Linked DNA regions of Anolis sagrei. The protein of the gene in region 3 binds, or shares a complex with, the protein of the main gene of each other region. Links are inferred from orthologs where the notes say so. Each region holds a gene or a part of one and is shown on either strand. Other genes may lie near its edges.

Region 1 (7,390 bases), on a different chromosome or scaffold from region 3:
AACACATTATCCATAAATTACCAATAAGCCATTACAATGCACAATTATTACAAAAAACAACAACCGTCCCCAATCTTCTCCTCATCCAAGCGTAGTCCAGGTTCGCCGTCCATTGTTCCATTCCTATGTTCCATTACCAGATTGCACTAAATTACTCAAACGCCTGCACAAACATCCAGGTCTTCACCTTTTTGCGGAATACCATTAGAGATGGTGCTAGTCTAATGTCCGTAGGAAGGGCGTTCCACAGCCGAGGAGCCACCACCGAGAAGGCCCTATCTCTCGTCCCCGCCAGCCGAGCTTGAGAAGCAGGCGGGATCGAGAGCAGGGTCTCCCCGGAAGATCTCAAACTCCTGGTGGGTTCATAGGCAGAAATGCGGTCAGATAGGTAACTTGGGCCGGAACCGTTTAGGGCTTTAAAGGCCAACGCCAGCACTTTGAATTCAGCCCGGTAGCAGATCGGTAGCCAGTGGAGTTGGCGCAACAGGGGGGTTGTATGCTCCCTGCGCTCCGCTCCTGTTAAAATCATGGCTGCCGAGCGTTGGACTAGTTGGAGCTTCCGAGCTGTCTTCAAAGGCAACCCCACGTAGAGAGCGTTGCAGTAGTCTAAACGGGATGTAACCAGAGCGTGGACTACCGTGGCCAAGTCAGACTTCCCAAGGTATGGGCGCAGCTGGCGCACAAGCTTTAGCTGTGCAAATGCTCCCCTGGTCACCGCCGAAACCTGGTCACCGCCGAAAATAATGTCCAGCTCAAAATGCTGAGACGCACATGGAATTCGATGTCTTTTGGGTTGTATACATTTTGTTCACATGGATGTATTGTTGTTGTATTCAGGCATTGAAAGTTTGCCTTTTATGTTTAGAATTGTGACGATGTGTAAGTTTTATTGCTTTGGTTATGGGTAGTTTGGATAGTGGTTTAGGGATGGTAAGTATGGGAGATTATGTTTTGTTGGAGATGGTGGCTTGGCGTTAGCTGAGTTGCCATAGCAACAGGGGCGGAGCCAACTGCCTCTTGAGGAGGCAGCTATTTTAAAAAGTCAGCCAGTGGCCGGAGAGCTACTGAGAGGACTGAGTCTCTGGGTGGAGATTCAGGGAATGTGTCTGTAGCCGGTGTGCTATAGGAAAGACTGGATCTCAGGGTGGAGATTCAGGGAATCAATTGGTGACCAAAGTGGTTGCAGAGAAGGACCCGGTAGTGAGAGAGCTACAGGGGGTTGTTGATTCTGAATTAAGAATCAAGGTTTGGCTGGGTTTAAGCCTGCTGTTCCTGTGGTGAAACGTTTTGAAGTCTGTGCCTGAGATTACTCATGAAACCTTTCCAATGTAACCATCAAGATTTGTGCCTCTTGAGAAGAAACAGTTAAATATGTTATACTCCTGTTAAAATAAACTTGTTACTGTTTTCCTGAAGCCTTGCCTGATACAGTTTCTCCTAAGTTGAACAGCCTGCAATAGTAAAGTCAGCCAGAAACAGTAAACGCTACGCTATCCACTGAATAAGACCTTCTGTCATTAACAGTCCCTTTATAAAATAGTTCCTAGGCTGATATTGATCGTTGCCCGGCTTCCCTCATAGATTAGTGGGTGTTTTACCACTCGCACCTTCACATTTGGTGGCATTCGGTGGGATTAAAACGGTCTTCTTTACAAGAATCCATCCTGTGTCCCTCTGGGGAGATAGAGCAGAATATAAAGAAATTTTTATTATTATTATTATTATTATTATTGAAAAATAAAAATCAGCATGATTTCCAATCTCAATAGTACCATTCCCGCCTCTCCAACTTCTGTAACGTGGCAGTGGCAATCCTTATTCTGCTCGCTCCATCTCTCTCCAAATACCCATCCTAGTTATATGTCACCTTGTCATGCCCAGCATTTTTTATAATTTTAATTATTACATTTGGCCCTGCCATAGGTTTTTAATGCGCCGTGGTGTTATTGTTACTGTTTATTGCTTTGTTTATGAGTTTATGCATTATCTGTATTGCTGTTGTTGCTGTTTTTACTGATGTATTTCGGCTTGGCATCTTGTAAGCCTCACCGAGTCCTTCGGGAGATGGTAGTGGGGCATAAATAAAGGTTTATTATTAATATTATTATTATTAGTCCTGTACCGTCCCACTTTACAGCTGTTTTTCAAACGTCCCAGTTTCTCTCGCCTCCTTCCATTTTCCTCCTTTGTCCTCAGCTTTCCTTTGTGGCTGCAAACAGAATTGAAGATGCAAAAGTGCTATATGCACCAGGCCTGGGCAAACTTGGGCCCTCCAGGTGTTTTGGACTTCAACTCCCACAATTCCTAACAGCCTACCGGCCCTCCAGGTGTTTTGGACTTCAACTCCCACAATTCCTAGCAGCCTACTGGCTGTTAGGAATTGTTGGAGTTGAAGTCCAAAACACCTGGAGGGCCCAAGTTTGCCCAGGCCTGGTATAGACCCAATGATTTCAATGGGCACTTCCCTGGTGGTTCAGGCAAAAGCAAACAGCTGCTGTCTTTCCTAGTTGTGCTTTGCCACATTGACCACAACCAGGTATATTTGATCTCACATGCCCCAATTTCCATTTGCAGAATGTCAGTCCATTTGGTGTTGCAGGACGCCCAGTATATTTTGGGGGGGAGGGCAAATGCAAATACTTGCAAGGGTCTGGCATGCCCAGGGCAGATTGCAGTTTTTCCCAAAGGAGGAATAGGTACAAGTAAGAGAAAGAAAGAGTTCCTCCTCCTCCTTGTCTGTGCCTCTCGGAGTCATCTGTCGCCCAGCTGTGCCTTTGCTCCTTTGACCTGAACTTGGTGCGTTGATTGGCCATTCCTGGCCTTCAGAAAGTTACTTGTGGGTTTTGGGGGAGGAACGCTGCAAAATCTGGCATGGACTTTCCAGGAATATTTATTGCTTTCTGGTGAACCTTTGCTCCGCGTGTCTTTGGTGCATGGGAGAAAATTCAGTCTCAATTCGTTTTTTGATGCTAGTGGGTGAGCATTTGCAAATTTCACCATGTGGTGGAAGGATAGAAGGGAATCTCAATGTGCAAGGTTCACATGTCAGCCCAAGCTGTGAATGGGTTAGACCAACTGCAGAAGCAAGAGAAGGCTGAGCTGAATGGAGCTCCTTTTTGTTCATATGCCAACAGAGAGAGCCTCCATATGCAGGGGCAGTGTACTTGGGCATAGCAGATACTTGAGAACTAAAACTTAAGGAAATGTTGTTTTTCCCACCTGTCCAGGGCCCATGAAAATGGAAAAGATGCAGGACTTGGAATGTTTTACTTTTGGGGCTACAATTCCCAGAAATATCTCCAAGATGGGAGGCACTACCATTTCTCACTTATTGAGGGATCCATCATTAAGGGGAGTAAACCTGGCCCACTTGCCTCTAGCCAGGGTATGGGCCAACTTGAAGTCCAAGTGTTTTGGACTTCAGATCCCACAACCTGGGTATGCAGATGATCCCTTGAATGACCATAGTGTTCAGTTCCAAGAGGACAAAGGCATGGGCCAACTTGGCCTTCCCTTAATGTGTTTTGGACTCTAACTCCCACAACGTGGGTATGCAGATGATCCCTTGATGGACTGAAGTGTCCAGTTCCAAGAGGACAAAGGTATGGGTCAACTTGGGCCCTCCCTCCAGGTGTTTTGGACTCCAACTCCCACAATGTGGGTATGCAGATGATCCCTTGATTGACTGAAGTGTCCAGTTTCAAGAGGACCAAGGCCTGGGCCAACTTGGTCCCTCTCTCCAGGTGTGTTGGACTCCAGCTCCCACAACGTGGGTATGCAGATGATCCCTTAATTTACTGGAGTGTCCAGTTCCAAGAGGACAAAGGCATGGGCCAACTTGGGCCAGGTGTTTTGGACTCCAACTCCCACAACGTGGGTATGCAGATGATCCCTTGCTTGACTGAAGCGTTCAATTCCCAGGGGACAAAGGCACGGGTCAACTTCAGTCTTCCCTCCAGGTGTTTTGGACCTCAACCCTCACCATTCCACATTTCTCCCTTTCACTCTCCAATCATTCCTCTTTTAATTCTGCAGCACTGCTGGTCACAGCTGACCCCCAGTTACAGTGCTCAAGGGCCAGGGCTTCCCAATTCTTGGTGCAAAGTAAGAACCGCACAATTAACAAGGAAATTACACTTTCAAACCACAAAGAGAACATTTTTTTTCAAATTTTACTACATAGTGCAACCTTTATTGATGCCCGGCCTTTCTCCCTGTAGGGACCCACAACCCCAGCCAGACCTGTTCCCGTGTGTGCTATTGCCTTGGCCTCACAAAGCAGTGGCAATCCAGTCCAGGACTTCCTCCCGCCTCAACTTGTTCCCTTTCCAAGTCCTGTTTCCTCTTTGCAGCTCCTATCTTGAAAGTGTGGGGAGGGGAGGGGGCAGGAAAGAACTCTGGGCTATGTTTATCTGGCCTGCTGAGAATGTTGGCCCTGGAGCCGGAGGAGAAGTCCCCGGCTTTTATTTCTGGACCGGCACATGCCTTGCAGGCTGGGACTCCCAGCTCTGTGATCTTTATTTATTTCCTCTCCTCCTCCTCCTCTTCCCATCCTTTATTTCTTCCTTGTCTGTAAGTGGAGAAAGTGGAAGGGTTCTGGGAGGACCCCCACCACCGTCCCCCAAAAGAGATGTCGGTGAATGGTAGGAGAAGCTCCGGCAGGCCCTCCTACTACTACCGGCTGCTGCGGAGGTCCAGGCTTCACCGGCAACGGAGCCGGTCCCGCAGCCGCAACCGGCCACTCAGCAGGGGTAACGCACTTTCTTTGTTCTTGCATGCACCTCTGGCATCTGTTGCTCAGCACCTAGAAGGCAGGTAGAGTTCGGGGCCAATGGCAGGTGTGGGACAGGTATGGAGGAGACTTGTATGGGATGCACATTCTGGTGATGGAGGAAGGATACCGTCTTTCGGGCTGCACAGAATGGAGTGTCGTGTGTTATTATTGTTAGAGTTGGACCAAAACTATTGGATTAAGAGGCATGCCAGGTAGATGGCTGAGCCACACGTTGTCCGAGATGTCTTTCCTGCCCAGTCTCATATCCGGTCCAGATTTGGTGTTAGGGAGCCTCCAAGCAATGAGCTTGTTCTTAAGTGTGCCGGGCAAATTCGAAGAGGTCCAGTTCCATCAGATTTGGTATAGCACCGGATGGGGTCACACTCCTCCTGAAGACGCAGGTTCGCAGCTCAGGTGTGATCTTGGACTCGTCACTGAGCCTGGAACCCGAGGTTTCGGTGGTGACCAGGGGAGCATTCACACAGTTAAAACTTGTGCGCCAGCTGCACCCGTACCTTGGGAAGTCTGACTTGGCCACGGTAGTCCACGCTCTGGTTACATCCCGCATAGACTACTGCAACGCTCTCTACGTGGGGTTGCCTTTGAAGACTGCTCGGAAGCTTCAAATGGTCCAGCACTTCAACTCCCACAATTGCCAGGTTGCTAACAGGAGCGCCACTCAAGGAGCATACAACTCCGCTGCTGCGCCAGCTCCACTGGCTGCCAATTTGCTACCGGGCACAATTCAAAGTGCTGGCTTTAGTCTTTAAAGCCGTAAACGGTTCTGGCCCGACCTACCTGTCCGAACGCGTCTCCGCCTATGAACCAGTTAGGACATTAAGATCGTCTGGGGAGGCCCTGCTCTCGGTCCCACCAGCTTCACAAGCGCGCAGTAGTCTATACGGGATGTCACTAGAGCGTGGACTACCGTGACCAAGTCAGACTTCCCAAGGTCTGGGCGCAGCTGGCGCACAAGTTTTAATTGTGCAAATGCTCCCCTGGTCACTGCTGAAACAATAAAATACATAATAACAATAATTATAACAATTAAAACATTACATTAATACAATAAAAAGCTAGCCTGGTGGCCATTGTTTTGCCAAGTCCATAATTAATAAATTCATTCCGCTTATCATAATCTGGTTCCAAAACTTTAGTCGTCATTGTCCATTGTCAGTCTGCCAGATTACCTAAAGGCCTGGTCCCATATCCATGTTTTTAATTTCCTTCTGAAAGAGAGGAGGGATGACGATGATCTAATTTCCCTGGGGAGTGAATTCCACAGGCGGGGGGCCACCACCGAGAAGGCCCTGTCCCTCGTCCCAGCCAATCTCATTTGTGACGAGAGCAGGGTTCCCCCAGAAGATCTTAAATTCCAAGGCGGGACGTAGAAGGAGATACATTCGGACAGGTACGCAGGGCCGGTGCCGTATAGGGTTTTATGCAAGAGGGAGGTCGTTCTGTTGCCACTTCTCTGGAAGCTGGAATGTTAAGTGGGATGCAGCCAGTTGAGCGTGTAATGACTTTTTCTATTTACATTGTAGAGAGAGCACAGCATCCTGGGAACTGTAGTTTGGGAAGGCGAGGAGCCCTATGGCAGAGAATGCAAAAGGCCTTGCCCTGAACTACATTTCCCAGAATTCCGCTCAGCATCAGAAAGCCCCAATGAGGAGGAGGAAGAGGTCCTCCTTCCTGACAGAGTCCCAATGAATGGTTGAATCCCCCAAAAATCAGTATATGTGTGAATCTCTCAGAAACTGGGAGTGAATGCTCTCCTGTCATCTTGTGTCATTGTGCAGAAAATTCAAGGAGAGTGCTCTTGTAGGGTTTTGTTAATGTTGTTTGTAAAAATTTTGAAAATTCCCCCAAAATCAGTGGAGGAGCGAAACATTCTGAAACTTGGTGGGCACACAGTGGTCACTGGGTTCTATAACCGTACCAAGTTTCATGCCAATAGCTGTAAAAATGAAGGAGAAAGGGACCCTTGAAGTGTCCTCATTGGCACAATTACTTAACGAAAAGTAACGAAAAAGCAGTGAACTCATTATAGTTATGATACGGACCCCATCCAATTTTGGAAATTCTGATTTCGTAATGAGTATTCAAATATTTTTTTAATTACTAGCCATCCCCTGCCACACGTTGCTGTGGCCCAGTCTGTGTATATGTGCTTTGTATGTATATACATGTATATATGTGTGTGTATATGTGTATATATGTGATTATGCACATGCATTGTAATGCATTTTTTATTTTTTTGGCTTTTTGCATCCCTTCTTCTGTGTTTTCCAGTGTTTTAATGAGTGATGGTCACTCATTGGCTTGAGAGGTGTCTTGTGTCTAAATTTGATTTCAGTCCGTCCGGTGGTTTTTGAGTTATGTTAATCCCACAAACTTCTGGTTTGAAGAAGAACAGCCTGCCTCAGGGGAGCGTGCTCGCTTCGTTAATGTTCAACATTTACACAAATGACCAGCCACTGCCAGAAGGGACAGGGAGTTTCATCTATGCTGATGATCGTGCCATCACTGCTCAAGCAAGGAGCTTTGAGATGTTAGAACAGAAACTCTCTGAAGCTTTAGGTGCTCTTACTGCCTATTACAGGAGAAACCAGCTGA
Region 2 (7,964 bases), on a different chromosome or scaffold from region 3:
CAACTACACCCGAGAGTATTGAAGGAACTAGCAGAAGTAATCTCGGAACCATTGGCAATCATCTTTGAGAGTTCTTAGAGAACGGGAGAAGTTCCAGCAGATTGGAGGAAGGCCAATGTGGTCCCAATCTTCAAGAAGCAAAACAAGGATGACCCAAACAATTACCATCCGGTCAGCCTCACGTCGATACCAGGCAAGATTCTGGAAAAGATTGTTAAGGAAGTGGTCTGCAAACACTTAGAAACAAATGCGGTCATCGCTAATAGTCAACATGGATTTATCAAAAACAAGTCATGCCGGACGCATCTGATCTCTTTTTTCGATAGAGTTACAAGCTGGATAGGTGCGGGGAATGCCGTGGATGTTCTTTCAAGGTGCTTGGCGATTTATGATGACTCTAAGGCAAATATTCATAAATATTGTTTAGAGGCAAATGGCTTTCCCTTTCCTCTGAGGCTGAGAGAGTGTGACTTTCCCGATGGATTTCTGCGGCCAAGTAGGAATCATAGAATCATAGAATCCTAGAGTTGGAAGAGACCTCATGGGCCATCCAGTCCAACCCCCTGCCAAGAAGCAGGAATATTGCATTCAAAGCACCCCTGACAGATGGCCATCCAGCCTCTGGTTAAAAGCCTCCAAAGAAGGAGCCTCCACCACACTCTGGGGCAGAGAGTTCCACTGCTGAACAGCTCTTACAGACAGGAAGTTCTTCCTCATGTTCAGATGGAATCTCCTTTCTTGTTGTGGTGACCCCCAACCATAACATTATTTTCATTTCTACTTCATAACTGTAATTTTGCTACTGTTATGAATCATAATGTAAATATCTGCTATGCAGGATGTATTTTCATTCACTGGACCACATTAGCACAAATATCTGATGCATCCAAATTTGAATGCTGTTGGGGTTGGGGGAGATTGATTTTGTGATTTGGGAGTTGGAGTTGCTGGGATTTATAGTTAACCTGTACTCCACCAACGATAGAATTGAACAAAACTTGACACACAGAACTCCCATGACGTACAGAACATACTTGAAGGTTTGGTGGACATTGCCCAAACGTGAATACTGGTGAAGTTTGTAGAAAATAAACCTTGACATTTGGGAGTTGTTGCTGGGATTTATAGTTCACCTACAATCAAAGAGCATTCTGAACTCCACCAACAATAAAACTGAACATAACTTGACACACAGAACTCCCATGACCTACAGAACATACTCCAAGGTTTGGTGGACATTGCCCAAACGTGAATACTGGTGAAGTTTGGAGAAAATAAACCTTGACATTTGGGAGTTGTTGCTGGGATTTATAGTTCACCTACAATCAAAGCGCATTCTGAACTCCACCAACAATAGAATTGAACAAAACTTGACACACAGAACTCCCATGACCTACAGAAAATACTCAAAGGGTTTGGTGGACATTGCCCAAACATGAATACTGATGAAGTTTGGAGAAAATAAACCTTGACTTTTGCGAGTTGTTGCTGGGATTTATAGTTCACCTACAATCAAAGAGCATTCTGAACTCCACCAATGATAGAATTGGGCCAAACTTCCCTCACAGAAGCCCCATGAACAACAGAAAATATTGTGTTTTCTGATGGTCTTTGGCGACCCCTCTGACATCCCCCTCGCGCAGAGGCGGCCCTAGGTAATTTTCAACGGTATTCAAACAGTATTTTGGCGCCCCACCCCACCCCACCCACCCACCCAACCAATCACTGATATATATTTTCTGTTCGTCGTGGGAGTTCTGTGTGCCATATTTGGTCCAATTATATCATTGGTGGAGTTCTGAATGCTCTTTGGTTGTAGGTGAACTATACATCCCAGTAACTACAACTTGCATATGTTAAGGTCTATTTTCCCCCAAGAGCACCTCAAGAGCACCCCTGTGCAAAATCAACTATACTGCAAAGGCTTACTTTGCGTAATGGTTGAGCCGCCCCTGTGGAGGACCAAGTAAATGCCTAGTGAGGGCATATTTTGTCAGATGTGGGTACATGAGACAGTGGTTTGTACTGATCTCATGGGTTAGGCTCTATAAAGGAACCCAATGATGGCCTTTTCCTATTAGATGGCTCCACTGCCGTCCCTTTCAACACTTCTCAACCTACTGAAGCCTCTCACGAGGTCTCCAAGGGCCGCCCGTAAACAAAAATACATTGCAGTAGTCAAGCCACAAGCATTTCCTATGAGACCACAACTTGGAAAGACCTCAAGGTCTATTTTCCTCCAAGAGCGCCTCAAGAGCGCCCCTGGGCAAAATCAACTATACTGCAAAGGCTTACTTTGTGTAATGGTTGAGCCGCCCCTGTGGAGGACCAAGTAAATGCCTAGTGAGGGCATATTTTGTCAGATGTGGGTACATGAGACAGTGGTTTGTACTGATCTCATGGGTTAGGCTCTATAAAGGAACCCAATGAAGGCCTTTTCCTGTTAGATGGCTCCACTGCCGTCCCTTTCAACACTTCTCAACCTACTGAAGCCTCTCACGAGGTCTCCAAGGGCCGCCCGTAAACAAAAATGCATTGCAGTAGTCAAGCCACAAGCATTTCCTATGAGACCACAACTTGGAAAGACCTCAAGGTCTATTTTCCCCCAAGAGCGCCTCAAGAGCGCCCCTGGCCAAAATCAACTATACTGCAAAGGCTTACTTTGCGTAATGGTTGAGCCGCCCCTGCCCTTGCGACCCCCAGGTTGAGAAACGCTGCCTTACCTTCTCTATAGATCCTGGAAGGAGTCGGAGAAGGAGTTTGCACAAGACGACTCCATCTTTGAGGGACGTTTTGAGGAATTGCAGGGGGTCCCCGACCTTCATTTTCGGGGAGTTCAAGGCTCCCAGTGAAATCAACCAGGTCACAATTTGCTCTTCGGGGTTCATGCTGGTAGGGTTTCTCCGTCTCGATGAAAAGGCCGAGCCACCTCCACAACACTGCCTTCCTGCTTCTTCTGGGCCAAACCGCCCTGAGATGTCACAGATTGCCCTGCGCTGAAAGCCACTGTCCTTTTCTCTTTTTTTTTCCGGTTTACAAAGTCACCAGAAACTGACTTCCCTCTTGACTAGAGGAACGGGTTTGTGCGCATTTGCACACATGGCTTCTCGTCTGCAGAAGTGCCAAGGAGGGAAGCTTCTGGGGCTAGAAGTCGTGCCGTAAACACGGATTTCCTGTGTCGCTGAAAACAGAAACTTCGTGCATCGATAGCTTTCTACATCCTTCCTTCATCTTCAAGGATAGAAGCCTTGGTTACACCTGGAGAATGAGTTGGGACAGGGGCGGCACAATCCAGTACGCAAAGTGAGATGGCAACTACAGATTACTGAAGTCGAACATGACCCCCCCCCCCCCATAAAAGATAGTAACTTATAGTTTTGCTAAGGACAAGCACATGAGACTTGATAATACGGGTTTGTGGCGCAGCTGGCTGAGTGTCAGCTGCATTAAGATCACTCTGACCAAAAAGGTCATGAGTTCGAAGCCAGCCCGGGCTGGAGTGGGTGTCCAGCCATTGTGTAGCCCGTTGTCGACCTTTGCAACCCGAAAGACAGTTGCATCTGTCAAGTAGGAAAATAAGGTACCACCTTGTGTGGGAGGCTAAATTTAACTAATTTATGAGGCCATAAAGAAAAAAGACTCCGGGGAATGTGGAATGCGGAAGAACTTCATCGGTGTTGTTGATGGATGATGAAAAGCAGCAACTCCCCTGGCGGCCAGAAAAAAGTTAAATAGCCTCGGTGTATTTGTCTGTTAAATGTTGTTTGTCAAACTGGCATTGAATGTTTGCCATATATGTGTTTACTGTAATCCGCCCTGAGTCCCCTGCGGGGTGAGAAGGGCGGAATATAAGAACTGTAAATAAATAAATAAATAAATAAATAAATTTATTTATCGTGTCATCAGCAACCATACCATTGTGTTACAATTCTAACACAACAAAACAAATACACAGATTAAAAAAAAACCCACAGATTTTGCAAACTTGGTAGTTGGTTAAATGTCCTTGGACCAGTACCTGGCCACTTGGAGTGCCTCTGGTGTTGCCGCAAGGTGGTCCTCCATTGTGCATGTGGCAGGGCTCAGGGTGCATTGCAGCAGGTGGTCAGTGGTTTGCTCTTCTCCGCACTCGCATGCCGAGGATTCCACCCTGTAACCCCATTTCTTAAGATTGGCTCTGCATCTCGTGGTGCCAGAGCGCAGTCTGTTCAGCGCCTTCCAAGTCGCCCAGTCTTCTGTGTGCCCAGGGGGGAGTCTCTCATCTGGTATCACCCATGGATTGAGGTGCTGGGTTTGGGCCTGCCACTTTTGGACTCTCGCTTGCTGGGGTGTTCCAGCGAGTGTCTCTGTAGATCTAAGAAAACTATGTCTTGATTTAAGTCGTTGACGTGCTGGCTGATACCCAAACAGGGGATGAGCTGGAGATGTCTCTGCCTTGGTCCTTTCACTATTGGCTGCTACTTCCCGGCGGATGTCAGGTGGTGCAATACCGGCTAAGCAGTGTAATTTCTCCAGTGGTGTGGGGCGCAGACACCCCGTGATAATGCGGCATGTCTCATTAAGAGCCACAGCTACTGTTTTAGTGTGGTGAGATGTGTTCCACACTGGGCATGCATACTCAGCAGCAGAGTAGCATAGCGCAAGGGCAGATGTCTTCACTGTGTCTGGTTGTGATCCCCAGGTTGTGCCAGTCAGCTTTCGTATGATGTTGTTTCTAGAACCCACTTTTTGCTTGATGTTCAGGCAGTGCTTCTTGTAGGTCAGAGCACGGTCCAAAGTGACTCCCAGGTATTTGGGTGTGCTGCAATGCTCCAGTGGGATTCCTTCCCAGGTAATCCTCAGAGCTCGGGATGCTTGTCTGTTCTTAAGGTGAAAGGCGCATGTCTGTGTTTTAGATGGATTAGGGATCAGTTGGTTTTCCCTGTAATAGGCAGTAAGAGCACCTATAGCTTCTGAGAACTTATCTTCAACCATCTCAAAGCTCCCTGCTTGAGTGGTAATGGCACGATCATCAGCATAGATGAAGCTCTCTGTCCCTTCTGGCAGTGGCTGGTCATCTGTGTAGATGTTGAACATGGATGGAGCAAGCACGCTCCCCTGAGGCAGGCCGTTCTTCTGTTTCCGCCATCTGCTTCTCTGGCCCTGAACTCAACAAAAAAGCTCCTGTTTTGTAGCAGGTTTCCTATGAGGCGGGTGAGGTGGTAGTCCTTTGTGATATTATACATTTTTCTCAGGAGGAGGCGGTGGGTTAAGCCTTGGTCAATTTGCCAAGACACTAACAACAACAAGGACTCTTCCCATGTTAGATAGTGCGTACATTTAATCAAGTTTTTATTCCCTAGGTTTCATATATAGCAGAAGGTAGCACATTTATAGTGGAGCCCCTGGTGGCGCAGTGGGTTAAACCCCTGTGCCGGCAGGACTGAAGACCGACAGGGGAGAGGCAGATGAGCTCCCTCTATCAGCTCCAGCTCCTCATGTGGGGACATGAGAGAAGCCTCCCACAAGGATAAAAACATCAAAATCATCCAGGTGTCCTTGGGCAACGTCCTTGCAGACGGCCAATTCTCTCACACCAGAAGTGAGTTTCTCAAGTCGCTCCTGACACAACAAAAAAAAGCACATTTATTGCTGAGAAACCACCTCCCTTTACACTTATGTGCTCTCTTGAACTTCTATGGGACTCTGGTGGGAGGGATAAGTGGGTATGCTTTCTATAACATGATTTCTATTTTTATATATTCCTCCCTGTGTATCTGACCTTTTCCTGACCCCTTTGCCCAATTCCCCTTTATTGAAAAATGTATAAAAATATAAGAAGCCACCCCTGTGACCCTGGAAAGAAGGAAATCTCCAGTTGAAAAAGACCCTTATCAAAAGACACTATTTGCATGGACAATAACAAAGGACTGTGACCTCTGGCCTTGGAGTTGGCCCCCCAGAGGAAGCGGTCACTTGGCATTTATGATCATATCTCAACTTGGCATTTATGATCATATCTCAATTTGTCCTATTCTGTTACTGATTCAACTTTTACCCACTGAAACCACAGCCAAAATTCCCTCATTGTTCCTGTCTCTCAGCACTGGAAAAATCCGGATTATGGCAGGCTTGCCAGACAATCAACGTTTCTCAATGACAATAGGAATGGCTGGCTCGCACGCCCCAGGACTCGTTGGCCGTTTGGACATTTCCTACCTCCATAATCCTCCCAAGAATCCATTGTTTCCCTCTCGTCCCGCCTCCCTCCTGATTTGTCAGGATGCCAAGACGGCAGAAGCCCAGCGATTGGCCCAGGTGCTCAGGAGGTGGCCAAGCCTCCTCCCAGCTGTAGAGCGCCAGCCAATCATCGTCGAGCCGGCAGAGGGGCGGGGAATGGGAGATTCAAACCTGGCAGCTCTGTTTTATGTATAAAAAGGCCTTTATTTTTGTACACTGTATGCTCAGCTTGGTGAAATATTGCTGCTTTGCATCCTTTTCAGCTGAATCGCCATAAAATGATCTTGGTGGCACTTCCTTCAACTTTGGTGAGATTTCTTTTGGGAACTTAGGAAAAACCTTTTAAATTGGGCTTCTCTTTGCTCACCATTGTAGCGAACCCTCTTTTTTGTGGGTCCGCAGGGTCTCTCCTTCAGGGCCAGACCCTTTTAAATTCCTCCATGATTTCAATAGTGCTATAAGAGGTCGGATTATACAAAACACTGGGGAATTTCTGTGGGGTTCAGCATGAACTTTAAAGGCTGGGTAAAAACAAATGTATTTTCATTACAATAGTTATTTAACTGGCCAACAGCACCACCTACTGGTAGCTTCACTTTACTCTATCTATGGATTGAATCCATAATTATGAATGCCACAGAAAATCTGTTCTGGTTGCTAAGTTACCACTATGTAACAAAATTTCAAAAAAATATGTTCCTTGTTTGAAAATGTTGAAGTGTGTTACTTAATTGCTAATATTGAACAGACAGAGGTCAGTGTATGGAGATTCAGTGACCGCATTTCTGTGTATGAACCCACACGATCTCTTCGATCATCTGGAGAAGCCCTGCTCACGCTCCCACCTCCTTTGCAGGCGCGATTGGTGGGGACGAGGGAGAGGGCCTTCTTGGTGGTGGCTCCCCGACTCTGGAACTCACTTACCAGGGACATCAGACATGCCCCAACTCTGTCAGTCTTTAGGAGGAGCCTGAAAACATGGTTGTTCCAGTGTGCCTTCCCAGAATAAGGAAAACTCTCCGCAATATGCCCTCAAAATGCACTTTACCATTGATTTAGGATTGACTGCGTTCCCTCATTTCTCTCTGTAAATCCTATCCCAGTTATATCCTACCTTGTTCACATCAGCATTATTTTTAATTTTTAATCTATTACATTTGGCCTGGCCATTGGTTTTAAATGCTTATATGTCACTGTTGATTGGTTATTGCCTTTTTAATGTGATTTATACGATTTGTATTGTATTGATTGTTTTATTGATGTTTTGTTTATTGATGTATTGTGGGCTTGGCCTCATGTAAGCCTCACCGAGTCTCTTGGAGAGATGGTAGTGGGGTACAAATAAAGGTTATTATTATTATTATTATTATTATTATTATTATTATTATTATTATTATTATTATTATTCTGAAGCCACCCCTAAGCTTACAGCAATGTATCCTGTCTTTGAAGTGTTGCAAAACTTTTTACACAACTAAAATAGTCAAGATTGGTATGTTTATACTTTGACTTAGGCGATCCCTTGTAGCTTGAGGATGATGGCCCTTCAAGTGTCGTGTCTTGGCGGTGGATACGTAAGTGGCTGTGGAGCCCTATTCTTGATCTTCTGCAGTGAGGACATTGGTTTCCAGGTGGAAAGCGGTCCCTGTCAGGGTTGGCTTGATGCACCTTCCTTTTGGCATGTTTCTCCCTTTAGCCCTTCATTCGTGCAGCTTCGAATTCCGCAGCACTGCTGGTCACAGCTG
Region 3 (7,448 bases):
TATGGCAGGCATGACTGCATGGAGCGCCGTTACCTCCCCGCCGAAGCAGTATCTATTGATCTACTCACATTTGCATGTTTTTGAACTGCTAGGTAGGCAGAAGTTGGGGCTAACAGCAGGAGCTCACCCCACTCCCTGGATCTGGATCACCAACCTTTCAGTCAGCAAGTTCAGCAGCTCAGTGGTTTAACCCACTGTGCCACCAGGGCCCTGGATAAGGTGTATAATATGAAACAAAAATGTATTTGGTGCTGAGGCTTGTGTCCCATTTCCATTATGCATATGAAAATCTTCCAAAATCAGGAAAGGGGGCAAAATTCTAGTGCCAGGCCTTAGAGATAAAGGAGGCCATTCCAGGGATTATACTCCAACAGGTTCCACTGCAGGTACACAAGAATTATTATATTAGGAAGGGGTTGGAAGTGCTGAAGGAAGGGGACTCCCTTCCCCTTCAGTATCTCTCATCTGCAGTCAAGGAAGTGCCTTGCCTCCCTTGGCCCTCCTGTGCTGACAGGGAAGAAAGACTGTTTGCATCTACACCAAGTGTCTTCAAACTGCAGCTCTCCAGCTGTTTGGGCCTCCAACTCCCAGAAGCCCTAGCCAACTTGCTCAATTGTCAAGAACTGTGGGAGCTGGAGTCCCAGACAGCTGGAAGGCTCCCTGATCTCCACAGCAGAAATAATGCAGTTTGATGTCGCTTTAACAGCTCTGGCTCAATGATATGCAATCATTGGTGTCGTAGTGCCCTTCCAGAAAGGCCCTATATTCCAGGATCTGATCCCAGGTTTTCTGCTTTAAAGTGGATTATATGAGTCTTCACTGCCAGATAATCTGGGACAAAGAGAAAACCTCGGATCAGATTCTGGGATAAAGTGCCTGTCTGGAAGGGCTGGTGGTTTCATTAAGTCTTTTTTAGCCAAAGAGGGCTGGTTGCCTCGCCAAAGTGCAACTCCATAGGAAGTCCACAACAGTTCAAGCAGCATGAATCTGCACTCATAACTGCAAATTCTTGTAAAACTACAAATCCCAGGATTCCCTTGTACACTCCTGGTCCAGTGTAAAGGCACCCCTTCCAGTATAGGCAGTCCCCATGTGACAAATGAGAGGGGTTCTGTGGGCTTGTTCTTAAATTGAATGTGTGAAGTCTGAACAGGTACCCTTCTTAAATGCCAATCTCCAGCAATATCTATTATGCAAGCTTTGGATATCCTGGAGCTCCTGGTGGCGCAGCAAGTTAAATGCTAAGCTGCTGAACATGCTGACCAAAAGGTTGGCACATCGAATCCAGGGAGTGGGGTGAGCTCCTGCTGTTAGCCCCAGCTTCCGCCAACCTAACAGTTTGAAAACATGCAAATGTGAGAAGATCAATAGGTACCGCTTAGGCGGGAAGGTAATGGTGCTCCATGCAGTCATGCTGGTCACATGACCTTGGAGGCGTCTACGGACAACGCTGGCTCTTTGGCTTAGAAAAGGAGATGAACACCAACCCCCAGAGTCAGACACAACTAGACTTAACGTCAGGGGAATACTTTGGATAGCCTATGGAAGAGTGAACATCCCAGTGGCATTTCCTTTGCTGCCTGTGCCCCTGTTCGGGAGATTTCACCTCGATTTCTGTCCCTGTGATCATTTTGGGAAATTTCATTTGAAGGACGGGTGAGAAAGGTTCAGCGGAGACACCTTTCCGCTCTGACAACAACTCTTTCAGGAGCAAATTTCCCTTCTGAAAGGGAAGATTTCTCTCACTGGGTTGTTGTAAGTTTCCCAGGCTGTATGGCCATGTTCCAGAAGCATTCTCTCCTGATGTTTCACCTGCATCTATGGCAGGTATCCTCAGAGGGGGGAAAGGATGGGGCCTGAGACCAAGCCTCACAACCTCTGAGGATACCTGCCATAGATGCAGGTGAAACATCAGGAGAGAATGCTTCTGGAACATGGCCATACAGCCTGGGAAACTTATAACAACCCAGTGATTCCGGCCATGTTGTTGTTTTCGTGTCTGGAGTGACTTGAGAAACTGCAAGTCACTTCTAGTGTGAGAGAACTGGCCGTCTGCAAGAACGTTGCCAGGGGACGCCCGGATGTTTTGATGTTTTACCATCTTCCTCTCATGGGGAGCTGGAGCTGACAGAGGGAGCTCATCCGCGCTCTCCCCGGATTCGAACCTCCGACCTGCTGGTCTTCAGTTCTGTTGGCACAAGGGTTTAACCCATCGCGCCACGGGGAGCTCCTGATTCCGGCCATGAAAGCCTTGACAATACATTGATTTCCCTCACTTCCTGTTGTCTCCGCCCCGTTCTGAACTGTGAGTCGTTTGCAAGTGGGATGTTTGCAAGTCGGGGATTCCCCAGCATGGAGGGAGGGCTGCCAAGGCGCGTTCGTCCTCCAGTGGAGACGCAAGGAGGGCGGGAGAAGAGGGAGGGGGGAGGGAGGGGAGGGGGGCCTGCCTCACCGGCGTTGTAGAATCGGTCGAGGACAGCGGTCTCTCCGAAGTCGAGCTTCCCGAAGTGGAGCGCCTGGAGCTCGGCGCCCACGGTCTCGCACGCCTCGCGCAGGCTCTGCAGGGCCCCGCTCTCCGCCTGCAGGACGGCGCCCGGGCTGGCCTCGTTGATCACGTACGACACCGTGGTCCGGCGGGCCCCCCGGGACCGGGCCCCGGCCTCGCAGGCGACGGTGGTGCTCCCGTGGCCGCTCTCCTCGTTCCAGAAGGCGCCGGGCGGAGCTGCCCGCGAGGACCCCGCTCCGCCCGCCCCGGCCCCGGTTTTCCTCCCGAAGGCGTCCTCGCAGAGCAGCAGCGGGCATCCGCCCCCGACCAGGCTGGGCACCGAGAAGGTGATGCCCGCCGCCTCGCTGCTCTTGTCACTCATCGCCGCTTCGGAGCCCAAGCCGGCACCATCGAGGCGCGCGCCGGCCTTCCGGGACTTAAAGGGCCCCCGCTCTGCTCGCGGGACACTTGTTGCATCGCTCCCGCCTCCGCCGCTTCTGCCGCTCCGCGCCTGAGCCAGGAGAGGCCCCGCCCCTCGGGAGGGGGAGGGAGGGAGGGAGGGAAACGGGGCGGAGCTCGCCGCGCGCCCGTCAACACCCGCCGCCCAGCAGCAGCAGCAGCGCCCACGGTTGGCCAGGGGCAATCCCTGCGGAAGAGCGCCCCCTGCTGGCCCTGCCCTGGAAGGGTTTCGCCCAATCGCTTGCTTTCCTTCCTCAAGTAGAGCCGTGGCTCTTAACCTTCCCAATCCCGCCACCCCTTCATGCAGTTAGTTCATCATGTTGTGGTGACCTGCCAACCATAAAATTGTTTTCATTGCTACTTCATAACTGTAATGTTGCAGAAGCATACGAGAAACTCGGCCTGTCATTGAACATCGAGAAAATAAAGGTTGCTTACCTGTAACCGTATTTCTTCGAGTGTCAGTCCGTGAAATCCGCACCTATGGGTTCTTCTTTGCGCATGCGCAGAAACTCGGAACATTTCTAAGTTTAAAGAATTAAAAATGATTATTTGAGCCACCTAGGCCCCGCCCATTCCCCCGCCCCCCTGGATATAAGCGCCGAGCGGCGCCGCCATTATCTAGTTCCCAGCGCTAAACAGCAGCCAGGAGAATGGCATGACAGAGGGGAGGACGGGCGGGTCGTGCGGATTTCACGGACTGACACTCGAAGAAATACGGTTACAGGTAAGCAACCTTTATTTATTCTTCGTGTCGTCCGTGAAATGCGCACCTATGGGTGAATAGCAAGCTACTGACCTGGAGGTGGGTCATGCCACACAGGAGAAAAGAACTGCTCTGCCGAAGCTAGCATCTTGCTTTGCCTGTATGTCAAGCTTGTAGTGAGCGGCGAACGTGGACGGCGTAGCCCACGTAGCTGCTTTGCAAATCTGATCCAAGGGAATTCCCTTGAGGAATGCTTGAGATGTAGACACAGAGCGGGTTGAATGTCCCACGAGGTGGGATGGAGGTTCTTTCCCTGCGAGCTGGTAGGCTAGACGGATGGTTGCAACAATCCAGGAGGCCAGTCCTTGGGAGGACACAGGCTGGCCAAGTACGTCTTTCCTGTATTTCAAAAACAATCTGGGAGACTTCCTATAAACGGAAGTTCTATGTAAGTAAAAGGAGAGTGCTCTTTTAACATCAAGGGAGTGCAGAACTACCTCCAACTGGGTTGGGGAAAAAATTTGGTAGAACAATGTCTTGTGACATATGAAAATGAGAGACCACCTTAGGAAGGAACGTGACATCGGTGCGGAGGACAACCTTGTCAGGGTGGAATCTCACATAAGGAGGGTCTGAACGGAGGGCCGCGAGTTCGCTGGCTCTCCTAGCTGAAGTAATGGCCACAAGAAAGGCCGTCTTCCACGACAGGTGGGAGATATCATTAGAGGCCATAGGTTCAAATGGTGGTTTGGATAATTGGGATAGCACTAGCTCCAGGCTCCACTGGGGGGGAGGGGGGGAGACAGGAGGGTGGATATTTTTGTAGCCCTTAAGAAACAACTGTACCAGATGGTCCTGAAAAAGGGACGGCAGCCCGGACTTCCTTCGGAAAAATGAAATGGCTGACAGGTAGCATTTCACCGAAGAAAGGGAGAAACCTTTGTCGGAAAGGTGGACAAGGAAGTCTAAAACAAAGGGAACTGGGGCAGAGATAGGGTTGTGTCCCAGTGAGTGAGCAAAGGATTTGAAAGAGGCCCATTTATAGTCATATGACTTCTTGGTGGCAGGTTTATGGGCCGCCAAAAGTATACGGGAGACTTCATCAGAAAGGTCTAGTGTGGTTTGATTCTCCACGCCGTTAGGCGTAGAGATTGCAGGTCGGGGTGTAGGACCAGGCCGTTCTCTACTGTGAGAAGGTCCGGGGTTTGGCTGAGGTGGAGGTATTGTTTGTTGGAAATTTGGAGAAGGGGGGCAAACCAATGTTGTCGTGGCCACCAGGGTGTGATTAGAATGCAGTCCGTGTTGTCCTGAATTATTTTGGCTATGACTGGGGATAGGAGGGGGAGCGGTGGGAAGAGGTAGAGGAGGCCGGGCGACCATTGGAATAGGAAGGCGTCCCCGAGACAACCTTGGGATGCGCGAGGGTGGAGCCGTGCGCAGTAGAGTGGGCAGTGGTTGTTTATTGGAGATGCAAATAGGTCTATTCTGGGTTCGCCCCACTTGCGTGTGAGGGCTTTGAACTGTCTGGGGTGGAGATGCCACTCGTGGTTGTTTTTTGAGGATCTGCTTAGAGAGTCCGCCAGGATGTTGTCCTGGCCTGGTAAGTGGATGGCTGTGAGGAGGACATTCTTCAGAATGCACCACTCCCAAATTTGTTGTGAGATGTGGAGGAGTGTGCGTGAGCGTGTTCCTCCCTGTTTGTTGATGTAGTATTTGACAGAGGTGTTGTCTGTTATTATTTGTATGACATGATTGGACACAATGCGTGTGAAGGCCCGAAGAGCCTTCTCCACTGCCATCATTTCTAAGGCATTGATGTGGAGCTTCTGCTCTTGTGGGGACCAGTGGCCACTGATCTGGAATCCCTTGAGATGTGCTCCCCAACCTGAGTTGGAGGCGTCGGTTGTGAGGGACATGGAGGGACGGGGATGGTTGAATGGCATCCCCGAGAGAACATTGTATTGCTTTGTCCACCATGAGAGTGACTGGAGGACAGGGGGTGGTGGTTTTAGGACCCGTGACTGGGGTTCGTGAAGGGGGTCGAACGCTTTGAGAAACCAACTTTGGAGGGGTCTCATTCTTAGACGGGCAAAGGGTGTTACACTTGTGGTAGAAGCCATATGGCCAAGGATAGATTGGATAGCCCAAGCTGATGTTTGGCGGGATTGTTGTAGGGTTAGGATAGCCTGACACAGATTTAGGAAGCGATCTTCTGGGAGGAAGGCCTTCTGAAGTGTGGAGTCTATTATGGCTCCTATAAATTGGATACGTTGTGTTGGGGTCAGGTGAGATTTTTCGTGATTCACAACCAGACCCAGATCCTGTAAAAGAGATAAAGTATAATCAGTATCCTTGCACAGTTGTGATCGAGAGGATGAGCAAAACATCCAGTCATCCAGGTAAGGAAAAACTGTGATGCCTTGCTGGCGGAGGTGTGCGGCTATAACAGACATGCATTTGGTGAATACCCTTGGAGATGTGGAAAGTCCGAACGGGAGAGAATTAAAAGAGAATAGTTTGTTTTGGACCGCAAAGGTAAGGAACCTGCGGTGGGAGTGTCTAATTGAAATATGGAAGTAGGCGTCTCGAAGGTCAATCGTGGCTAACCATGAGTCCTTGGGAATGAAGGGAAGGATTTTGGGGAGTGTCACCATATGAAATTTACGTGGTGTAATGAAAGTGTTGAGTTTACGTAGATCAAGGATGGGGCGTAGACCACCATCTTTCTTGTCCACCAGGAAGTAACGGGAGAAAAAACAGATGTCTGAATCTTGTGAGGGAGTAGGCGAGATGGCGCCCTTTTGGAGGAGAGAGTGAATCTCTTCCCAAATGATTTGGGAAGGTGGTGTTAGCAGTACATTACCCACTGGGGGATAATTGTCAAATTCTATGGCATAACCCCTTTCAACGATGTCCAAGACCCAGGTGTCTGTGGTTATGGACTGCCATGTCGGAAGGAAGGTATGTAGTCTGTCAAGGTATGTAAGCGGTTGGGTGTGGGGTGGTGAGGGAGTGTCGGTAAGTGTAGGTGTGCTAAAAACGGCGTTTGTTGGTATTGGGGGGCCTGGTACCACGGTACTGACCTCTGGAAGGTAGGGGCGGTCGTCTTGATGATGTGGAGGGGTTGTAAGGTCTTTGTCGTCCCCTGTAGAATGAGGTGTTGTAGGGCCTATTGTAGTATTGAGGACGGTAATAATAGGAGCCCCATCGTTGGCGTTGGTAGGAGTATGGTTGATGGTCATACTTGTATACTGTTTGTTTCATTTCATGGGAGTGTTTTAACTGAGAGTCTGTTTCAGGATTGAAAAGGCCTGCCTCATCCATGGGGAGATTTTCAATCAGGGTGCGTTGTGATTGAGAAAGGATAGCTGCTCTTAGCCAGGCGTGGCGACGAAGGGCCACTGATCCTGCAATAAGTTTGCCTGCGGTGTCAGCAATATTTTTGGAGAGGTCTTTTTGTAGGGAGGCCAAAAGGAGAGCTTCTTGTTTAAAAGCTGTGGCTAGAGGTTGTTCAGTTGGTGGTAACAGGTCTAGATAGGGAGCAATTTTGTTCCACAAGGCAGTCTGGTATACACTCATGTATACTCCATAGTGAGCCATGCGTGCAAAGAGGCATGCTGAGGAGTAGAACTTTTTGGCCATAGCATCCAACTTTCTTCCTTCCTTATCAGAAGGAGAGGTTTGGTTAATTTGAGTTGGTTTAGGTTGAGCATCAGTCACAACAGAATTTGCTTTAGGCATTTTAGCAAGCCATGAAGCTGAGGAAAGGTCAATACGGTACAAGTTTTCAGGCCTCTT

Evidence for each region. The genes of interacting proteins can lie anywhere in the genome.
Region 1: MAP3K5 (region 3) and DAB2IP share a complex: the UniProt entries of both Homo sapiens proteins name them as parts of the cytoplasmic complex. The link is inferred for Anolis sagrei from reciprocal best matches to the Homo sapiens genes MAP3K5 and DAB2IP.
Region 2: MAP3K5 (region 3) and ARHGEF6 share a complex: the UniProt entries of both Homo sapiens proteins name them as parts of the cytoplasmic complex. The link is inferred for Anolis sagrei from reciprocal best matches to the Homo sapiens genes MAP3K5 and ARHGEF6.

The regions. Positions count from the first base shown.
Region 1 is NC_090031.1:2,168,215-2,175,604, reverse strand, and holds the start of DAB2IP (disabled homolog 2-interacting protein), read left to right. Parts: upstream 1-4,372; 5' UTR 4,373-4,630; coding exon 4,631-4,751; intron 4,752-7,390. UniProt on the Homo sapiens protein: Functions as a scaffold protein implicated in the regulation of a large spectrum of both general and specialized signaling pathways.
Region 2 is NC_090030.1:25,206,557-25,214,520, forward strand, and holds the start of ARHGEF6 (rho guanine nucleotide exchange factor 6), read right to left. Parts: upstream 3,019-7,964; 5' UTR 2,889-3,018; coding exon 2,724-2,888; intron 1-2,723. UniProt on the Homo sapiens protein: Acts as a RAC1 guanine nucleotide exchange factor (GEF).
Region 3 is NC_090021.1:79,748,041-79,755,488, reverse strand, and holds the start of MAP3K5 (mitogen-activated protein kinase kinase kinase 5), read right to left. Parts: upstream 3,012-7,448; 5' UTR 2,868-3,011; coding exon 2,453-2,867; intron 1-2,452. UniProt on the Homo sapiens protein: Serine/threonine kinase which acts as an essential component of the MAP kinase signal transduction pathway. Plays an important role in the cascades of cellular responses evoked by changes in the environment.